Canis lupus familiaris: one gene and its partners. The protein of the gene in region 2 purifies or fractionates together with the protein of the main gene of each other region. This does not show direct contact. Links are inferred from orthologs where the notes say so. Each region holds a gene or a part of one and is shown on either strand. Other genes may lie near its edges. The genes, in order: ARPC5L, ACTR3B, ARPC3, ARPC5 and ARPC1B.

The links.
Region 1: the proteins of ACTR3B (region 2) and ARPC5L purify together in Homo sapiens (affinity purification with mass spectrometry; 3 studies listed by BioGRID and IntAct, counting the BioPlex papers as one, with this or other methods). This does not show direct contact. The link is inferred for Canis lupus familiaris from reciprocal best matches to the Homo sapiens genes ACTR3B and ARPC5L.
Region 3: the proteins of ACTR3B (region 2) and ARPC3 purify together in Homo sapiens (affinity purification with mass spectrometry; 6 studies listed by BioGRID and IntAct, counting the BioPlex papers as one, with this or other methods). This does not show direct contact. The link is inferred for Canis lupus familiaris from reciprocal best matches to the Homo sapiens genes ACTR3B and ARPC3.
Region 4: the proteins of ACTR3B (region 2) and ARPC5 purify together in Homo sapiens (affinity purification with mass spectrometry; 5 studies listed by BioGRID and IntAct, counting the BioPlex papers as one, with this or other methods). This does not show direct contact. The link is inferred for Canis lupus familiaris from reciprocal best matches to the Homo sapiens genes ACTR3B and ARPC5.
Region 5: the proteins of ACTR3B (region 2) and ARPC1B purify together in Homo sapiens (affinity purification with mass spectrometry; 5 studies listed by BioGRID and IntAct, counting the BioPlex papers as one, with this or other methods). This does not show direct contact. The link is inferred for Canis lupus familiaris from reciprocal best matches to the Homo sapiens genes ACTR3B and ARPC1B.

Annotation. Positions count from the first base shown.
Region 1 is NC_049230.1:58,229,875-58,232,283, reverse strand, and holds part of ARPC5L (actin-related protein 2/3 complex subunit 5-like protein), read left to right. Parts: intron 1-1,282; coding exon 1,283-1,355; intron 1,356-2,293; coding exon 2,294-2,409. UniProt on the Homo sapiens protein: May function as component of the Arp2/3 complex which is involved in regulation of actin polymerization and together with an activating nucleation-promoting factor (NPF) mediates the formation of branched actin networks.
Region 2 is NC_049237.1:17,238,222-17,241,736, forward strand, and holds part of ACTR3B (actin-related protein 3B), read left to right. Parts: intron 1-1,530; coding exon 1,531-1,655; intron 1,656-2,566; coding exon 2,567-2,677; intron 2,678-3,515. UniProt on the Homo sapiens protein: Plays a role in the organization of the actin cytoskeleton.
Region 3 is NC_049247.1:8,505,868-8,510,106, reverse strand, and holds the start of ARPC3 (actin-related protein 2/3 complex subunit 3), read left to right. Parts: upstream 1-1,431; 5' UTR 1,432-1,503; coding exon of another isoform or gene 1,504-1,509; 5' UTR 1,510-1,537; coding exon 1,538-1,540; intron 1,541-4,239. UniProt on the Homo sapiens protein: Component of the Arp2/3 complex, a multiprotein complex that mediates actin polymerization upon stimulation by nucleation-promoting factor (NPF).
Region 4 is NC_049228.1:16,863,842-16,868,083, reverse strand, and holds the start of ARPC5 (actin-related protein 2/3 complex subunit 5), read left to right. Parts: upstream 1-1,441; 5' UTR 1,442-1,618; coding exon 1,619-1,761; intron 1,762-4,130; coding exon 4,131-4,203; intron 4,204-4,242. UniProt on the Homo sapiens protein: Component of the Arp2/3 complex, a multiprotein complex that mediates actin polymerization upon stimulation by nucleation-promoting factor (NPF).
Region 5 is NC_049227.1:10,274,250-10,277,834, reverse strand, and holds the end of ARPC1B (actin-related protein 2/3 complex subunit 1B), read left to right. Parts: intron 1-300; coding exon 301-507; intron 508-597; coding exon 598-673; intron 674-1,435; coding exon 1,436-1,641; intron 1,642-2,375; coding exon 2,376-2,466; intron 2,467-2,731; coding exon 2,732-2,770; 3' UTR 2,771-3,073; downstream 3,074-3,585. UniProt on the Homo sapiens protein: Component of the Arp2/3 complex, a multiprotein complex that mediates actin polymerization upon stimulation by nucleation-promoting factor (NPF).

The DNA of each region.
Region 1 (2,409 bases), on a different chromosome or scaffold from region 2:
CTCTTTGCCCCTGCAGACTAGTTCACCTGCCCCTCCCCATCCATCTCTTGAATGATTTTGTTTTCCAGCCATACTGGTTAGTGAAGAGAGCCAGCCTACACTTCTTTTAAACTCCCGAGTCTCTGTTAATTAATTGCTCTGGAACGCCAAACCAGAAAACAGTTCCAAGGTAGACGTTATCAGTGGCTGACACCAGACTGGCCCTTGTCTGGCTGAGGAAAAGGAATTCCAAGCCAGCAGATACAAGGAGTGGGCTGCCTCCATTGTGGAAGGTGCATCAGGGCCCAGCAGGGAGCTGGGAGCTCAGCAGGAGTGGCTCCTGGGTGGTGTGGGCCCAGCTTAGTCAAGATGGAGCCCATATTAGGGAAGATGGGTCTGGGCTTTGCTCCGGTGGCTTTGTCTGTTCACACGTAGGATTCACTGCACAAACAGGAGTAGAGACCTGTTTGGGCAGAAGCCATTCCTTATTCTATTTTTGAACCTTTTTGGCTGAAGCCAGTGTTGTAGATGAGGAAATGAAAGTTGGCTGATGTAATTCAGTTTAAAATAGGTGTCACCTTTGGGGACCTAACCCAGATTGTCATTTTCTTTTGAGTGCTGTGTATTCAGAACTCAGCAAAGAATGTGTCAAGATTGCAACTAAGGTTGAGGGGAGAGGGAAGGCTTGGCTTATATTTTGGGAAAAAGCTTTTAAATGAATAAACCTCCCTCTTAGTAGTTGGGACCTCACAGACCTGGATAGGTCTTGGAAGATAGAAGTTTTAGCACATCTTAATTTCTTTAGCAGCTTAACCAATGAAACAGTGGATAAAGAGGAGACCTCCATTTGTGCCTTTGTTCTTCCTTTTTGAGAATGAGAATGTGAGAGGGATAGTCTCACATCATCGTGAGGACCCAGCAGGGCAGACATGGTGCCCAGTACCAAGCAAGTGCAAGTGAGCTCAGTCAGATTCTATTGCAGGTCACCCCCAGAGGGCACTTGCTTTGCTTCTGCCTTCCATGGTAGGGGAGAAATGTCCAAATGTGTTTTGGGGGCAGCAGAACGAGGGACTTGCACAATTGGCAGAGGTGCTCTCTATTCTTTGTGTGGCTCAGGAAGGCTATAGGCTACTCTCTAAATGGGCTGTGGCCACCTGGAAGCTGCAGTGAAGTGTGTGTGTGGGGGTGGTGGTGGATGTGAATGTCATTTGACTCTTCTCCTTTGAGCTGTTTTTGAAATGAGTTCATTAATAGAAGCGTGGACATGCTTGAGCCGAGCCATCCTTAACTGGTGGTGATGCACAGGGGACATGCTTCGGGCATTCCATGCAGCCTTGCGGAACTCTCCCGTCAACACCAAGAATCAAGCTGTGAAGGTAAAGGGGATCATGCTGCCGCTTTGCTGGGTGGTGCTCGCACCAGGGCTGTGATTGTCTGTGTCCGCAGCTGAGGGCTCCCTGGGGCTCCAGACAGGGTCTGTTTTGCGTCCACCTCAGTGAGGATCTACCAAGAGAGTGAGTTGGCACTGGGCAGTGCTTCCATGGAAGCCTCCTGGCACTCCTGACATCAAAACTGTCTATGTTTATAGTAAAAGCTCCCCAAAGAAACATTCACTCCTCCCCAGGGCCTCATGGGGGTGAGAAGTTGGCCCAGCCCTTACTGCTTAGCAAAACTCTAAATTAGCTTGCCACATGGGACTTAGCAGTGTTTCTGCTTTAAAGGTTTTTGAATAGGCTTTATTTGCATAAGGATTTTCAGTCAAGATTTCCTGCCTTTTAAAAAGAAGGGGAGAAGATGCTTACTGCATCACAGCTGCTTAGAAGCTGTCTGAACTTGGGTTCAGGGAGAGGGGTCTCTCTGAAGCTGGGGTTTTGCCATCTTGTGACAGCATGGTGATGTCAGCAGCGGTTGCACCTCCTTGGTGGGGGGAAATGCCCCCCCCCCCCCCCCCCCCCCCCCGTGTTACTGGGGTGAGTGCAGAGGGAGACTGCAGCTTTTCTTACACCTGTGAAGAAAATAGACATGTTAAGAAAACAGCTGTGATCTGGTGGCATCTGAGGCCCGGCCCATGTCATAGAGGCAGGTTTCTCCCCAGTAAACCACTCACTCTCCCCCAGATTAGTGGAAGAATTTATGGGCATAAAGAAGGGATATGTTGACATGTAAATAAATGAGAGGATTTGAGCACTTATTTTGCAAGCAGCCCAGACAAGTCAGTAATTGGTCAGTGTTTCTGAGAATTCTGACCAGTTGGTGGGGCATTCCTGTGCCTGGGCTTTGGCCCTGGGCATCGCTGCCTCCTTCTCCTTCACAGGAACGAGCCCAGGGCGTGGTGCTGAAGGTGCTTACCAACTTCAAGAGCAGTGAGATTGAGCAGGCTGTGCAGTCGCTGGACAGAAACGGCATTGACTTGCTAATGAAGTACATTTA
Region 2 (3,515 bases):
ATGAAGACTTTGAGGTCTGCTTCAAGCCATCTTGCTAGGGGCCCTTTGTAATACATGATGTGTGCATCAGATGGTTCTTTTTTTGGGGGGGGGGCATCAGATGGTTCTGTGTGAGGTCTGTCCCTGTGCCATTGAGTGGCGTGGTCAGTTTTTGGAGGTCGTTTTGTTTGTTTCTACAGATCGCCTCAGTCAGGTAGGGCCCATCAGACTTTTCTGCCCTGTTGCCAGCCTCAGGGCTCTGGACATGCTTACCGGCTTTGGCATGAACACACTCACTAGGCTCTGCCCCTGGCATTTTCACACCACACCTGCTTCTTCAGTCTTGCAGAAATCCTGTCCCTTACATTTGTGCCCCCTTTTGTAACTCAGAAGCTTTGAGTCCAAACGTGGCAGTGAGTTGGAGTGAGGAAAGGAGGTGGGAAGAGTGGTTTCTTTCCTGGACCTTTTCCTTTTCACCTCTTCCACCTGTTACTGCAAACAATGCCTTTCTGAGGAAAAGAATTCAAATTCACTTGTATATCTTTATTGTGATTCTTCATTTGTAATAAATTGGGGATTTCAGATAGTCTGCTTTAAAAATAATTTGGAATAAATTTGGTGAAGATGAGTTAATGGGAGCTCAGCGGTTAGACCAGAGGTTAGGAATTTATTTATTTGAGATAGTGAGAGTGAGCATAAACAGGGAGAGGGGCAGAGGAAAAGGGACGCAGACTCCATGCTGAGCAGGAAGCTCAATCCCAGGACGCTGGGATCATGACCTGAGCCGAAAATAGACGCTTAACCAATTGAGCCACCCAGGTGTCCAGGGGTTAGGAATTTAAATGGAGAATTGAATCTTTGTGAAGCTTCCACATTTCATTAGATGTTAAATTCTAGAGTGGAGTCCTGTGTGTTTATTTACTAAGTATATTCCCAAATGTCAAGGTTAAACTCTTATTACAATAATGTATCATAAAAGCATTGATACGTTTACCTAATACAGCTGTTTGATTATTGTACTTTTCACAGTGGATATTCACCACCAATCTCTTTATTTTCCTCCTAATGTAATCAGTTATCTTTCTATAATAAGATTAAAAATACGTATTTTAAATCTGTCTGATACAGAGTTTTGGTAAAATGACTTAGAGTGTATAGGTATTATTTTTCAGTTTTCTCTTTTTATCATATCTTTAACTTTGTCTACTTCTGTATTGTATTTTAAAATTTGGAGCCTATAATACAGTCCATGGGCATTTCATTTACTATCTTGAAGGATTTCTTTAGGTGAAAGTAAGAGATTTAGTGATGTCATTTCTGTCTGATTAAAGGCAGATCAGCTAAGTTCCTTTGTACCATTTTAAAAATAACACTGCAACATAAAACTCGTTCCTGTATTTTATGTACTCATTGATATTGTCTTTTCTGTGAACTGCCTCCACCCCCAATAAAACCCTAACATTGAAAATGTGCTTGTACATACATGGGGATTATATTATCCTTTAATGTGAATAGTGATGGAAGTCTTTGTGCTTTTTTTTTTTTTTTAAGGTATTGCCATCAGAGAGTCGGCAAAGGTAGTTGATCAAGCCCAGAGGAGGGTGTTGAGGGGAGTCGACGACCTGGACTTTTTCATAGGGGATGAGGCCATAGATAAGCCCACGTATGCCACGAAGGTGAGCTCCTCAGAGGAATTTACTTCTTTAACTGTGTAGCCAAGAGCAGAGCAGTGGAATGAATAGTGCAGAATGGCAGATTATCTAGAAATTGTTTTTTTTATTTATTTTATTTATTTTATTTATTTTATTTTTTTTTTAGAAATTGTACTTTATGGGCTATGGGCATATTTTTATTTTTTATTTTTTTAAAGACTATTTATTCATGAGAGAGACACAGAGAGAGAGAGAGAGGCAGAGACACAGGCAGAGGGAGAAGCAGTCTCCAAGTAGGGGGCCTGATGTGGGACTTGATCCCAGGTCTCCAGGATCACACTCTGGGCTGAAGGCAGCGCTAAACCGCTGAGCCACCCAGGCTGCCCTATATTTTTTATTCTTATGTTTTAAAAGAAGGTTTGTTGTTTTTGAATGGGGTATTTTTGATGCAGGGAATCCAGTGAACTTACAGAACTCTGGAAGGTAGAACTGACACAGGCAGTGCTGGGTTACACGCAAAAACAAGATCTGCTCCTGTGGAAAATTTCAGGTTGATTAATTAACCTGTCAGATATGGGAAGTTACAGATTGATTAATTTAGGGGAAAAAAAAGGACAAAAATTAAGTAGACATTTGTTCTAGAAAAAAAAAAGCTCCAGATTGAAGTGCGCAGTGGATGGTGTGCACTTTTCCATCTGTTACCCACAGTAAAGATGGTTCTTCATGCTTAGAGGTGGGCACAGTAGAGTATCAACTGTAGTATAGTGAATGTTTCTGCTAATGTGCCTCTTATTTCTTCCCATGAATGAGCATCAGTGCCTGTGCACCAGGCCGTGCTGCCTACCAGGCCAGCCTGTCCTGGGCCAGCGTTGTTGGGCTCCTGCTCTTACTGCTGTGAGCTCAAGCTTGATGTGTTCTGCTCTCTCTTGCCATAGTGGCCAATAAGACATGGAATTATTGAGGACTGGGATCTTATGGAAAGGTTCATGGAACAAGTGATTTTTAAGTATCTTCGAGCTGAGCCTGAGGATCATTACTTTTTAATGGTGAGTAACTGCAGCTAAGAGGACTATATCCCTCAATATTCCAAGTTACTTAGATTTTATTTTTTCAGATTACTTAGATTGTATTTTTTATTCTTATTTATTTTAAAAATTTTTAAAGATTTTAAAGATTTTATTATTTGAGAGAGTGAGAAGGATAGTGAGAGCGAGCATGAGCAGGGGAGAGGAGCAGAGGGAGAAGCAGGCTCCCGTTGAGTAGGGAGCCCCATGCAGGACTGGATCCCAGGACCCCGGGATCATGACCTGAGGCAAAGGCAGACGCTCAACCACTGAGCTATCTTAGATTTTAAACTCAAGATATTCTTCTCTGGAGAGTTTTTAATTCTTGTTAAATCTATTTGTATGAATTGGGTGCTTTTTTGGCAAGTAACAGAAGGCTCAACAGAAGCGTCTAAAATCTGAGGGGGCTCATTGTCTCTCAGCACAGGAAGGCCAGAGTGGGGTGGTTCCCAGGCTGGGTACCCTAGGGCTCCAGTGGGGCTTCTTGTGTTGGTTTTCTGCAGGCCCCCAGGGTGACCACCCAAGCCCCTTTGTGCCACCTCTTGGTTTATATACTTTCAGAGGTTGAAGCACTTCGTAAGAATTAGGAGTCCCTTTTAGTTTATTTAATTTGTTTATTCTTAAGTAATCTCTACACTCTGTGGAGCTTGAACTCATGACTTTTGAGATCAAGAGGCTCATGCTCTTCTGACTGAACCAGCCAGGTGCCTCAGGGTTTAAATCTTACTATAAAATAAAGTTGAGCTGAGTTATGGGCCCTGATTACGGTACTTAATTGGTCTTGTGCAAATAAAACATTGCAGAGAAATGAGAAATGTCT
Region 3 (4,239 bases), on a different chromosome or scaffold from region 2:
AACTTTTAAAAAACATATGTATATAAATAAAATAAATATAAAAATAGTGCTAACTTTTCATTACACTCCTGTTTTTTAGTCAGAATCTGAAATACTCATCCAGGGCAAATTTTTGAATGACTAAATTTGCCCAACTGTCAAAATGTAGCCAGTGATTTCTTTAAAAATGCAATTGTGTCTGAGCATTTAAAAATTTATACTTTCCTGGGTAATAATAGCAGATGCACAAAAAAGGCAAAAGACATTTTTTTCTTCTTAAAGAAAAGAATTGCACCTTGATTGAATTGTTTATTTTCAGTAGCATTGGGTATGAAAGCAATGGGGAGTGTCTAGTCCATCTGTGATGGGCTAGGCCCTGTTAAGAAAAGCAGAATCTAATTTATTGAGTTCTGCCAGACCTTGTGCTAAGAAACATTTTACATAATCTCTTTCATTTAATCCTCATTACAGCCCAGTCTTCCTTGGCTATTTGGGCCTGGATCTTCCAGCTGATACAAATTAAACCCTTACAGAAAACTGGAAACAGGTTAAATTTTTCATCATTCTTGGGCTAGGTAGCAGGAGTACACCTGCAGTGTCACGTTTGATCCATTTTAACTAAAGATGCCCCATGTGTGAAGAACCACAGCTATCAGTGGTAACTTGTGTCTGGGAGGTTAGGCCAGGGGCATAAGTCAAGTATTTGCATCCTAGTCCATCAAGGTGAGCTATTGTACGGTGGAGAGGTACGGCCAGCAGGAGAGAACTTGAATGGGCATCATGGGAATGTGCTGTCCTGTGTCAGGACTCTTGTCTGTGGCCCTGAGTATGAAAGGGTGAGAACACCCTGATCTGCATAATTTTTAGAAATTTTATTGTCGTAGAAGAAAGGAAAGTCAAACTAACATTTGAAGTGCTTTCTAAGATTAGGTTAAAAAAAAAACAAAACAGGGCAGCCCAGTGGCTCAACGGTTTAGTGTCTTGCCTTCAGCTCAGGGCATGATCCTGGAGGCCCAGGATCGAGTCCCACATCGGGCTCCCTGCATGGAGCCTGTTTCTCCCTCTGCCTGTGTGTGTCTCTGCCTCTCTGTCCTCCTCTCATGAATAAAATCTTAAAAAAAAAAAAATCATAAGGAAATCAGGATGACGCAGAGGAGTGGGGTAGGACTGAATTTAAAATAATGTGATCCAGAGAATGCTTTCCTAGAAAGATGAAATTTGAGGAAAAATCAAGGAAGTGGTGGATGCCGAGGATTCTGAAACCCAAGATCTAGCCCCATTTCGCGCACACTTTACCATGCACGGCACTCACAATCCCTACTCAGTGCTCGGGCGCCCTCTGGCGCCCCTTCGTCCCTGCGCAGCCGCAGCAGCTTCCGGCGGGACCGCGAGACCGGAAGTGCCGCGTCCTCCCCTCCCCCTCTCCTTCCGGCTCACTTCCGCCTACCCCGCCCGGGCCGCCGGACAGGAAGCGCCGAGCTCTATCCCCAGCCTCGTCTGGCTAGAAACCCGGTCGCCGCCAAGATGCCGGTAAGGAGGCCAATTCGCAGTGTGGGAGATGGTGAGAACTGGGAGAGCAGCGAGAAATCATGCGTGAGCTGAGAGAAGTGGGCGGAGGAGGGCAGAGAAGAAGCGGGGCCTGAGAAGGGGAGAAGCTAGGAAGAGGGGCCTGTGGCTGTAGGATGGGGTTGCCCGGGGGTGTCGGCGAGGGGGACGGGGCCGGAGCACCTGGGGCCAAAGACCCTGAGCGTGGAGAGGAGGCTGGCTCGGCCCCTCTCGCCCTCTTCGCTGCAGTGCTGCCCCTTCTCTCCTTCTTTCTGTATCCCCCGACTCCAGCAGAATCCCCAAAGATTCACTGGAGCCGAGAAGACAAGGGCTGTGCTTTTTATTTTCCATTTTTCAAGTCTAGGATCCGGCTGCTTTTTCTTCCCCCCACAGGCCCACTTCCTCCTTGGCCCCAGGGGGCGGGTTCCTCCCGCTGCTTGTCACTGCCATACCCCACTTCCCGGACTCCTCTGTCTCCCCAGCAGTGGCGGCCACCCCTAGCTGCTGGGTGTAGGGCCGCCAGAGCAGACGCAGGGTCCGCTCCTGGTTTCCAAATGCTTCTGTTTTCGTGTGCATCAGAGTAGGAGCAAGATGATAGTAGTGTCTGGTTGTCCTTCATTTCTGACAGCCAGTCTGGTGGAGTGAATTCACCACCATCATGGTCTCCATTTTGCAGATGAGGTAAAGGAGGTTCAATAACGTGATAAACTCACTCAAAAAACATTACTGAGTACCTGCTGCATGCCAAGTACTGTTACAGCAGTGAATAAAGCCAACAAATCCCTAGGCTCAAAGAGTGTACATTCTAATGGGGAGACAGCACAAACGTGTATATGTAAATTGAAAAAGATAGTTTTACAGATTTTTTTTTGAGAGAGAGTGCCAGCAGGGAGAGGGGGTTAAGTGGCAGCAGAGGGAGAGGGACTAGTAGTCTGCAACTTAGTGTGGAGCCAGAAGCTCTATCCCACCAACTTAGGATCATGACCTGAGCCTGTCGCTTAACCGACTGAGCCACCTGGCTGTCCCTAAGATAGTTTTAGGTAGTGACAAATGCAATGAAGGAAATAGATGGGTAACAAACAAGACAGCTAGTGAAGGAGAGGGTGGAGGCTGCTTTAGGTAAAGGATTACTGATGACAAAGAGGAGCAAGCTATAGTTAGAGATACTTAATGAGTCTTGTTGGTACCATTCAATTCCTGACGTGTGCCAGACTGGCCCTGAACTATACACTGCATGTAAGTTACTCCATGTTATCCTCACAATAACCCTGTGAAGTCCATGCTTATTGTTCCCGTATTGCAGAGAAGGAAATTGAGGCCCAGAGAAGTATGATAACTTACCCAAGGTTGCAATATTTCAAGCTATGACTTTAATTTTATTTTATTTAATAAAGTTATTTATTTTATTTATTTGAGAAGAGAGAGAGTAAGCCCTGAGCAGGGGTGAGGAGCAGAGGGAGAGAGAGAAGCAGGCTCCCAACTAAGCAGAGACCCCAACATGGGCCTTGGTCCCAGGACCCTGAGATTGTGATCTGAGCTGAAGGCAGATGCTTAACCAACTGAGTCACCCAGGTGCTCCTTAAGGCTAGGACTTTAAAGTCCTGTGCTCATTCCTGGATTTCCCTGCGATAACTTATTTAATATCTGCCTCTTCCATTAGCCTGAAAGTTCTTCAGGGGCAGAGATACTGGTCTTGCATACCATTTTTTCATGATGCTTTGCACATTGAAGGTGCTTGATAATCGTTTGGTAAATGAATGAATATATGAATGGGGCTTTTCTGTTACTAAAAGCCAGACATCGGGGATCCCTGGGTGGCTCAGCAGTTTGGCACCTGCCTTCTGCCTGGTGCCTGGGACGTGATCCTGGAGTCTGGGATCGAGTCCTGCATTGGGCTCCCTGCATGGAGCCTGCTTCTCCCTCTGCCTGTGTGTCTCTGCCTCTCTCTCTCTCCCTCTCTCTCTCTCTCTCTCTCATGAATAAATAAACTCTTTAAAAAATAAAAAATAAATAAATAAATGGGATTTTCCCTGCTCCTTTAACTCACTGAGGGCAGTAGATAACTCTTCTTTTTATGAATTTGGAAACAGGTGAAGAGAAGTGATGTCTTGGTCAAACACATAGCCAGGAAGTGGCAGAACTGAAAAGCCAGTGTTTGGGTTCTGGTTTAACAAGAGCTGGTGGGGTGATGTACCCCTGATTTATATAGTGTCTGCCTATTTCCATAGCATAAATACTCCCACCAGTTACCAATGTGATATCACCGAATATGGGATTGGAAGATGCACAGTAGCACACCATTATATAGCATTTCTGCCACAAAGATACAAAAGTTATATATAACCTTAAGATCATAGACAGTAGTAAAATAATTTTTAAAAATATGAAGTAATGAATTTTCAGCATTTATCACATTTGTTTTCAATATAATGCACTTAAATGCAAATTTACATAATTTAATTTTTAATAATGGCTTTTTTTTTAAGGATTTTCTTTATTCATGAAAGACACAGAGAGAGAGAGAGAGGCAGAGACACAGGCAGAGGGAGAAGCAGGCTCCATGCAGGGAGCCCGATGTGGGACTCAATCCCTGGACCAGGGATCACACTCTGAGCCGAAGGCAGACACTCAACTGCTGAGCCATCCAGGCATCCCATTAACGGCTGTTTTTAATAACCAGCTTGCCTCAATATTTTTCAAAATTCCTCAAAACAT
Region 4 (4,242 bases), on a different chromosome or scaffold from region 2:
TTTGCATCTATGTAGAATTTTAGAGCTTCAGAACACTTTCCCGTACTTAGTCCTCAGAACAATCTCGCGAAGTACGTTATTATTAGCTCCACTTTAGCAACGAGGAACCTGAAATTGAGGATTTTAAGTGGCATGCCTCAATCAAATAGATTATGAGTGGAAGTCAATACTTCAGCCAGGGTTTTTGATTCTAAGTCCAGGGCTCGTTTCAATACAGCACAGGAAACCAAGGATTGGGGTATCAACAGGGCAACAGCTGGCTTTCTGCTAGAGGTGGAATTGAACGAGACCTGAGAGGATGTCAGGAAAACATAAAGCTATCTGAGCAGCGTCCAGCTAAATGTCCAAAATAATTTTATTCTGCAAATATTTGTGCTTCGGTGTTACACACACAGCACAACTACCATTTCTTTAGTGTTAGTGCCTTTGCCTCCTCAGTAAGGGCTTTGCTCTCAGAAACGAGGATGTCCAATGTAATAAAAAGCTGGCCTAGCAGGATCATATAAATCTCAAATCACAAATATAAATCTTCATCTCAAACCTACTAATCCTCACACGTTTTGTTTCCCCACAGCACCGGAGGGCATAGCTCGCCCCTATCCTTTTCTTCCGTGCTTGCTCCAAACCACCACTTATTTTTAAGATGCCGGTGACTGACCCTACCCCAAATTCCACAGGTCCGCCCCAGGTCTGCCACGCGAGCCCTTGCCCAGAACCTCCGTCTCCCTCCCCAAGGAGATGATACCTAGTTCAGGCTCTGCAGGTGCCGTCGGGATGCTGTCACACAGCACAGCCAGATAAGAGACGACCTTTCGACTCCGTCCTTGGGGACTTCCCGCTGGCCGCGCGGCGTAGCTCCAGCCCCGGGAAAGGGGCTCCCGGCTCAGGAACGCAGCCACGGGCAGCGCACGGTCCCAAGTGATGCCTCTGACAACTAGACCGACGCTGGGCGCCCGGGCGCGCATCACTCCGCCCCATACTCCTGCCAACTGCAGGGGACTCGGTCCGGCCACCAGTCCATCCCACCCCACAGGCAAGTCCGGGCCAGCCGGACCTCACGCAGGACCCCGGCGACAGGTCGCTGGCGGCGGCGGCGGCGGCGGCGGCGGCAGCAGGAGCCACCCGCCCCCAGAGCCCATAGCCGCCAGCCTAAGACCCCCGCCGCCCCCCTTCCGCGGGACCGCAGAGAAGCGTTGCTATGGAAACCCCCTGGGGATCACGTGACGCCCGCGGACGGCCAATCGCCTCTCACCTCTGCCCGCGGCGCCGCTTTCGGCCCGCCCCCGGCCCCGCCCCCGCCCGCCCCCGCCTCCCTCGCCCCGCCCCGCCCCCTTCCTGCCGCGAGCCCGCGCCTGCGCACTGCGCCCGGCGCGCCGTCCCTCGCGCGCGCGCCCGGGAGGAGCGGGGGCGGCGTGGGCGGCGGGCGGAGAGCATGTCGCCGAGGAGGAAGGAGCGCCGCCAGCGCGCAGGCCCAGAAGCGTCCGAGCCGCGGCTGCCGGCGACGCCCCAGAGCGGAAGAGGGAAGTGAAGGCGCCCGGGCTGCGGGTTCCTGGTGGGCTGCGCTTCCCGAGGGCGAGGCAGCACCGAGAGGAGGCTTAGGCCGCCGGTCCGGCTCGCGATGTCGAAGAACACGGTGTCGTCGGCCCGGTTCCGGAAGGTGGACGTGGATGAGTACGACGAGAACAAGTTCGTGGACGAGGAGGACGGGGGCGACGGGCAGGCCGGGCCCGACGAAGGCGAGGTGGACTCCTGCCTGCGGCAATATCCTTGGCGTTTGCCGGCCTCCCCGCGCTCCCGCCCCGCCCCGCCCCGGGACCCCGCGACCCCGCCCGGGGACCCCGCCCGCCGGGCCGCTCCCGGGGCAGGGGCGGCGGCTCTGGCCCTGCGGGGTCCGCCGGACGGGCGGCCGGGGGCGCTCCCGCGTCTAGCCGAGTCACCCCGGGTCACCCCGGGTCACCCCGGAGCCCGCCCCCGCCCCGACTCCTCAGGTGGCGGCCCGAGTCGCTGCCCCGGGAAGCGGCGGGGCGGCCGCGCCCTCGGGGCTCGGAGGGGAGGCCTCGGCTGCTGTCCGCCGGCCCCGGGGGGAGGGGCAGGGGCCCGGGCCCGAGGTCACGGAGGTCCCCCCGCCCCTCCGGAGGTGTGCGATTGCGGGGAGCGGGCTGCCTGCGTCGTGGTGCTGGCGGTTCGCTCTTCGGCCGCGTTAGGAGAGTTCATTCCTCGCGGGGAGGCATGGGGCGGTGTGCACGGTCGAGGCCCCCTGGCCTTTTTAGCCCCTGGGCCCTTTTAATAATTATAGTTATTTACAGAGAAAGGAATTTGTTGCAGATACGAATGTGTTAGCCCCGGGGAAACGGAGTGAGTACGAAACGGCCAGCTCCCGACAAGGAAGCTTGGAGGCTTCTACCTGCGAAGCAAGGGGACAATGCACAGGGATGGCAGGTGGAGAATCCCTGGAAATATTTAAGATAAGCCCCAGTGAATAAAGTAGATGATGAGCAAAATAGACGATGAGTCATTTTGCGCAAAGCAGCATCATTTTTTATTTTTTTTATTTTTTATTTTTTGCAATCCTGAAATCCATTTCCATTTCAGTTAAAATGCGGCTGTCAGTTCCTGGGGTTTTTGGTGTTGTTTTTTTTTTTTTTTTTTTTTTGCATATTTGAATATTCATCAGTGTTGAGCGAGTATTTGGCACCACATCTCTTTTAGAAAAATGTAAATGTTGCAACAGCTAAAGCTGTAGTTCTAGAGATTCTCAATTACTGAATTCACTCACTTCTAATTATTCTTGAATGTATTCATAAGATAGGGAAGACTTTTTAAACCTCTCCTCATCAATGTTCTATTAAAGTATAATGGGGAAATAGGAGTGAAAATATTGGTTGTGACTATATCTAGTCTTAAAGGCACCTAAAATACAGCATTAAACATTTACCAACATACAGATGTTTCTTTGATTTCCACAACTCTCACAGTCAGCTGTTGCTCTGTTGCATTATTTAAATACGTAAGTGCTTTAAGGTCTTAAAAATGAGCCAGTCTGCCAAAGGAAGCTTTTCTAGAAGTTTGTTAAGCCTTGGAAATAACAGCTTACCACCAGCCATAGGGGGTTTTTGTTTTGGGGTGTTTTGGTTTTGTTTTGTTCTTTTTTTTCCAAACATAAGCAATGAACATTATTCTGTCTGAAAACATTCTTTGTAATGGATAAATGACGTTTTGTGAACTAACTTTAGGTTGATGGGTGCTGACTCTCAACTGGTACGGCTGGATCCATAAAATGGATCTGCTTTCTAATCTCTTTATCTTAAAAGATATTGTCTCTTCTCTTGTTGCAACCAGAAGAGACCAGCTCTAGTCAGGCACTACAGATGGAGGAACAAATGAACTCTGTGGTTTTCCTTTTAGGGGAATGACTGTATATTCTGACAGTCTGATTGGCCTTCCGTGTCTCATACTTGCTAACTCACTGGTGCTTTCAAAGACTAAATTTAATAGGTATGACCTAAAACAGTGTCAATGACCTTTTTGGAAGTATAAGAGAAAATATGCAAAACAGAAAAATTAAGCTACAGCCTAAAGGACATTGAATTATTAGATCTTTTGTTAATATTGAGAGGTTACTAATGTGTATCATGTAGAGTGCTGGAATAATTACCAGCATTTTCTACAAGTATTTCAATTAAGATAGAATATAATTCTAGCAAAAGTTTGGTCCATATTTTTCCAGTTAAGAATCACATAAAAAGACATTTTGGTTGAGGGTATGCTGTTTCATTTGGGGACCTAATAATTCTAATACGTAGATATGTAATTTAAAATATACGTATCACTCTGAATAATGTTTCATATGTGTCTTACTGGAAAATAAAAGGCTCTCGAAGTGTTCATTTAGTAATTAGAGCCAGGCCGGAACTGGTCTTTGCCTTATTACCTCCTCTTATGTTCTCTGTGTTTTACATGTGATTGACATCCTTGAAACCAACATACTGAGTTTTCCAATATTGAACATAGCGATCGTGGTAATTTTTCTTTCTACGTATAAAGTCAAGTCTTAAGAACCAATGATACCTGGTAGTTCCGATGTTTTTCTGAAGGCTCCCCTTTGCTGCTATCCCCTTAACCTCCATCACAGGAAACATGACAGCCGCCCTACAGGCAGCTCTGAAAAATCCCCCTATCAACACCAAGAGTCAGGCCGTGAAGGTGAGTCAGACGCTGGTGTCTTAGCATTCTTTCCAAAAT
Region 5 (3,585 bases), on a different chromosome or scaffold from region 2:
AAGGGCCGGCTGCGGAGCATAGGCGCCAGCATGGTGGAGACCAGGACAGCCCCAGGGGCTGTGTCAGTGTTGTTAGTCCTCAGATGAGGGCCCCAGGGCCCTGGGAGTTCATGGGGGACCTCCTGGCCCCATTCTGCTGCACGAGGGCACCGAGGCCCAGATTGGCCCAAGCATGAGGACTCAGGCCATGAAGAGCTGGCTCTGGTTCCCACCAGTTCCGGGCTGAGCACTGACCTCACCGGGTGGGTCTGGGAGAGACGCCCCAGTCATGGAGGTCTGTTTCTTGCTCTGCCCTGGCAGGATCTTCTCGGCCTACATCAAGGAGGTGGAGGAGCGGCCAGCACCCACCCCGTGGGGCTCCAAGATGCCCTTTGGGGAGCTGATGTTTGAGTCTAGCAGTAGCTGTGGCTGGGTGCACGGCGTCTGCTTTTCGGCCAGTGGTAGCCGCGTGGCCTGGGTCAGCCACGACAGCACCATGTGCCTAGCCGATGCCGACAAGAAAATGGCGTGAGTAAAGGCCATGGGGGGCAGCAGGGGGGTGACGGGCACAGGGCAGGAGGGGCTGGAGCGGCTGACCTCTCTGTCTCTCTCTCTCAGTGTTGCCACTCTGGCCTCTGAAACGCTGCCACTGCTGGCCCTGACCTTCATCACAGAAAACAGTCTGGTGGCAGCGGTGAGGCGGGGAGGGGGAGAGTGGGAAAGGGAGAGAGGGAGGGGTGCTGATGAGGGTGGCCCTTTACTGGTTCCCTGCTCCCCCTCCCCCAGCCCCTAGTCTTTTTTTCCTTCCTGGTCCAAATAGGCTGGGAGGGGCCACCTGGTCTCTAGCATGCTCCCTGGCTGCTGTGAAGGGAGAAGGGGGAGCAGAAAATTGTGCCCTGCACTCTAGGGTTTCTGCTTCCCTACTAACTCTGGCTATGTGGGGGCAGCACAGTTGGGAACACACATCCAGAAGGGCACTGCCCTCCCTCCTTCTGCCCACTGATCTCTCCAATCCCTTTTCACCCCTCAACAAACCTCAGGTCCCGGGGGGGTGGGGCCAGGGGGGGATCAGGCCTGGTTTGCCTACAGAAGCATTCAGCTATGGGTGTTTGCCCAGAGTGGGTGTAACCAGTTGGGCAGGGCAGAAGGTCCCCAAGCTTCTAGGAGAGTCTTGGACAAGTTTTCTCAACTGGGCGTTGGCCTTGCCAGGGGAGGGGGCACCCCTAGATGCTCACCCCCAGCATGTGGTCCCTGTTGGTATGCCTGGCGTCAGCGTAGCTGTCTCTGAACTGGCACTGGCTTCCCAGTAGCTCCACCCAGGTCCTGCCACCCGGCTTCTGGCCAGACAGCCCCCATCTGTGTCACGCCTGGTCTCCAGCCTGTTGACTCACACAGAAGATAGGGGTGCTGTGCCAGCCCTCGGGCCTGCTCCAATGATACCCCCACCCTATTGCAGGGCCACGACTGTTTTCCGGTGCTGTTTACCTATGACAGCACCACAGGGACACTGAGTTCTGGTGGGCGGCTGGACGTGCCCAAGCAGAGCTCACAGCGTGGCCTGACCGCCCGAGAGCGCTTCCAGAACCTGGACAAGAAGGCGAGCTCAGAGGGCAGCGTGGCTTCTGGCTCCGGCCTGGACTCACTGCATAAGAACAGCGTGAGGTGAGAGCGGGACTGATGCCACTGGGAGGAGAAATAAAGCCAAAGTAGGGGCTGGGGGCCCTGACTGAGGAAATGGGGTGACCCTCTAGGTTGCACAAAAATAACATCGGGCCAGGATGCAAACCCAGCAGTGGGTGTGCTCTGCATTTTTTGAAGAAGGTCTGTGGGATGACCAGAGGGCACCCAACCCTGCAGGGCAGGGCTGAGGCTGAAGTGGTCCTGCTGTTGCCTCCTTGTGCAACTAGGCAGGATGAAGAGAAACTATCCACAACGCTCCAATCCTGCCAGCCACAGGTGTCCACCCTGCAGCAACCTGGGAAGACTTCCTGACTTGGCCCCTTGGCTGGGTGACCCCCTCCCATGGCTATCAGGCCGTGTTTTCAGACTAACCCCTGAGCCCAGCCTTCAGGGCTTATTGGAATGACCCCGCATGTCCTCCCAGCTCCAGGTTTTGCTTTTTGCCCCCATCCTGCTCCACGGTCACCCTGGACATTACCCCACACACGTGATTCATGCCGTTGCACATCTGGTTCTATTTCCCTGGATTTCCCTTGGCACCTTGCACATTCCTGCTCCTCCTCAAAGCAGACTCATGCAACCCCGCGGGCCACCTCCCAGGCTCTGTGCTGAGCACCCCAACTGTACATCCCAGTGCTTCTCACTGGAGTTAGCTGCTCCCCAGAGGGCAAGCAGGGCTCCAGCTGGGACCCGTCAAGCCCCCCTCTTCTTTGCAGCCAGATCTCGGTGCTCAGCGGGGGCAAGGCTGAGTGCTCACAGTTCTGCACCACAGGAATGGATGGTGGCATGAGCATCTGGGATGTGAAGGTGAGTCCTAGCCCACCATGGCCCTTCCTCCCCCTCGTCCTCCCTGGAAAGCCCTCTCCGTCCCTACAGAAGAAAGGCACTTCTTTGGGATGAAGAAGGGGGAAGAGTAGCACCACCCTGGGCACCTCCCTTTAGGGCTGGATTAAAACCAAGTCTGTCCAGCTCCAAAGCCCAGGTTCTCTGTCCTCTGCCTGGCTGGAGCTGGGATGGCGGTGAGTGGGACCACCGTGAGAACTAGCCTGTCTGTTCTGCTGTCTCTTTCCAGAGCTTGGAATCAGCCTTGAAGGACCTCAAGATCAAATGACCCATGAGGAATATGTTGCCCTCATCCCCACTGCTGGGGAAGGGGGTCAAGAAGGCTAAGGGTCGCTTTGCTGAATGTTTTTAGGGTAGTAGTCTGGGTCCCCCTGGAGACTGCTCCAGCCAGAGGGGAGGGCAAAGTGGGGAGGGGAGGGAAGCTTTTCTTACCTATTGAAGGAACATAGGTCTTTTTGTCAGAGAAATGTTTTCATTTATTGTTAAAAACAAAAATGTTCCCAAAGCACTGTGCTGGTCATGAACTGCTTCAAAAACATGGAGGTAATAAAAAAGCAATCTTAGAACTGGTCTCCTGTGTTTGGGAGAAGTCCGTATTTGCATGGGCACAGGTAGCTTGCTTCTGCTCACCAGCAAAATTGATCCTTAAACCTGAGGGTCTTCTCCTGAATACTTCCCTTTCCCCTGTAGTCCTGTGGGGAGTGGGGGTGGGGGGGCAGACCCTGGTGGCTGTCACTCTGTAGTCAGTCCTAGACCGGTGGTTGCACACCTTTCCAGGCTGCTTCTGAGCTTTAATGGAAATTGATGTTTGCAGCTGGTTTCTGATAAATGTGCTCATTTCCTCAATTTCCCCCCATTCATTCCTATTTCACTCAGAGGGCCTCTTCTGTTTAACACAAGCTTCTCACTTACCTATTTATTCAGTCATAGCTGGGTAATTACATCCACAGATCCTAATTGTGAACTGTCCTTACATTTGCAGGACAAAGGCTTCCTAAACATGCCTTCTCTCAGATTGTTCTAGGGTCTATCCCTCAGGATAGCCCCCTTGATCGGAAGAGGCCCATGATTCTTCTTTAAATC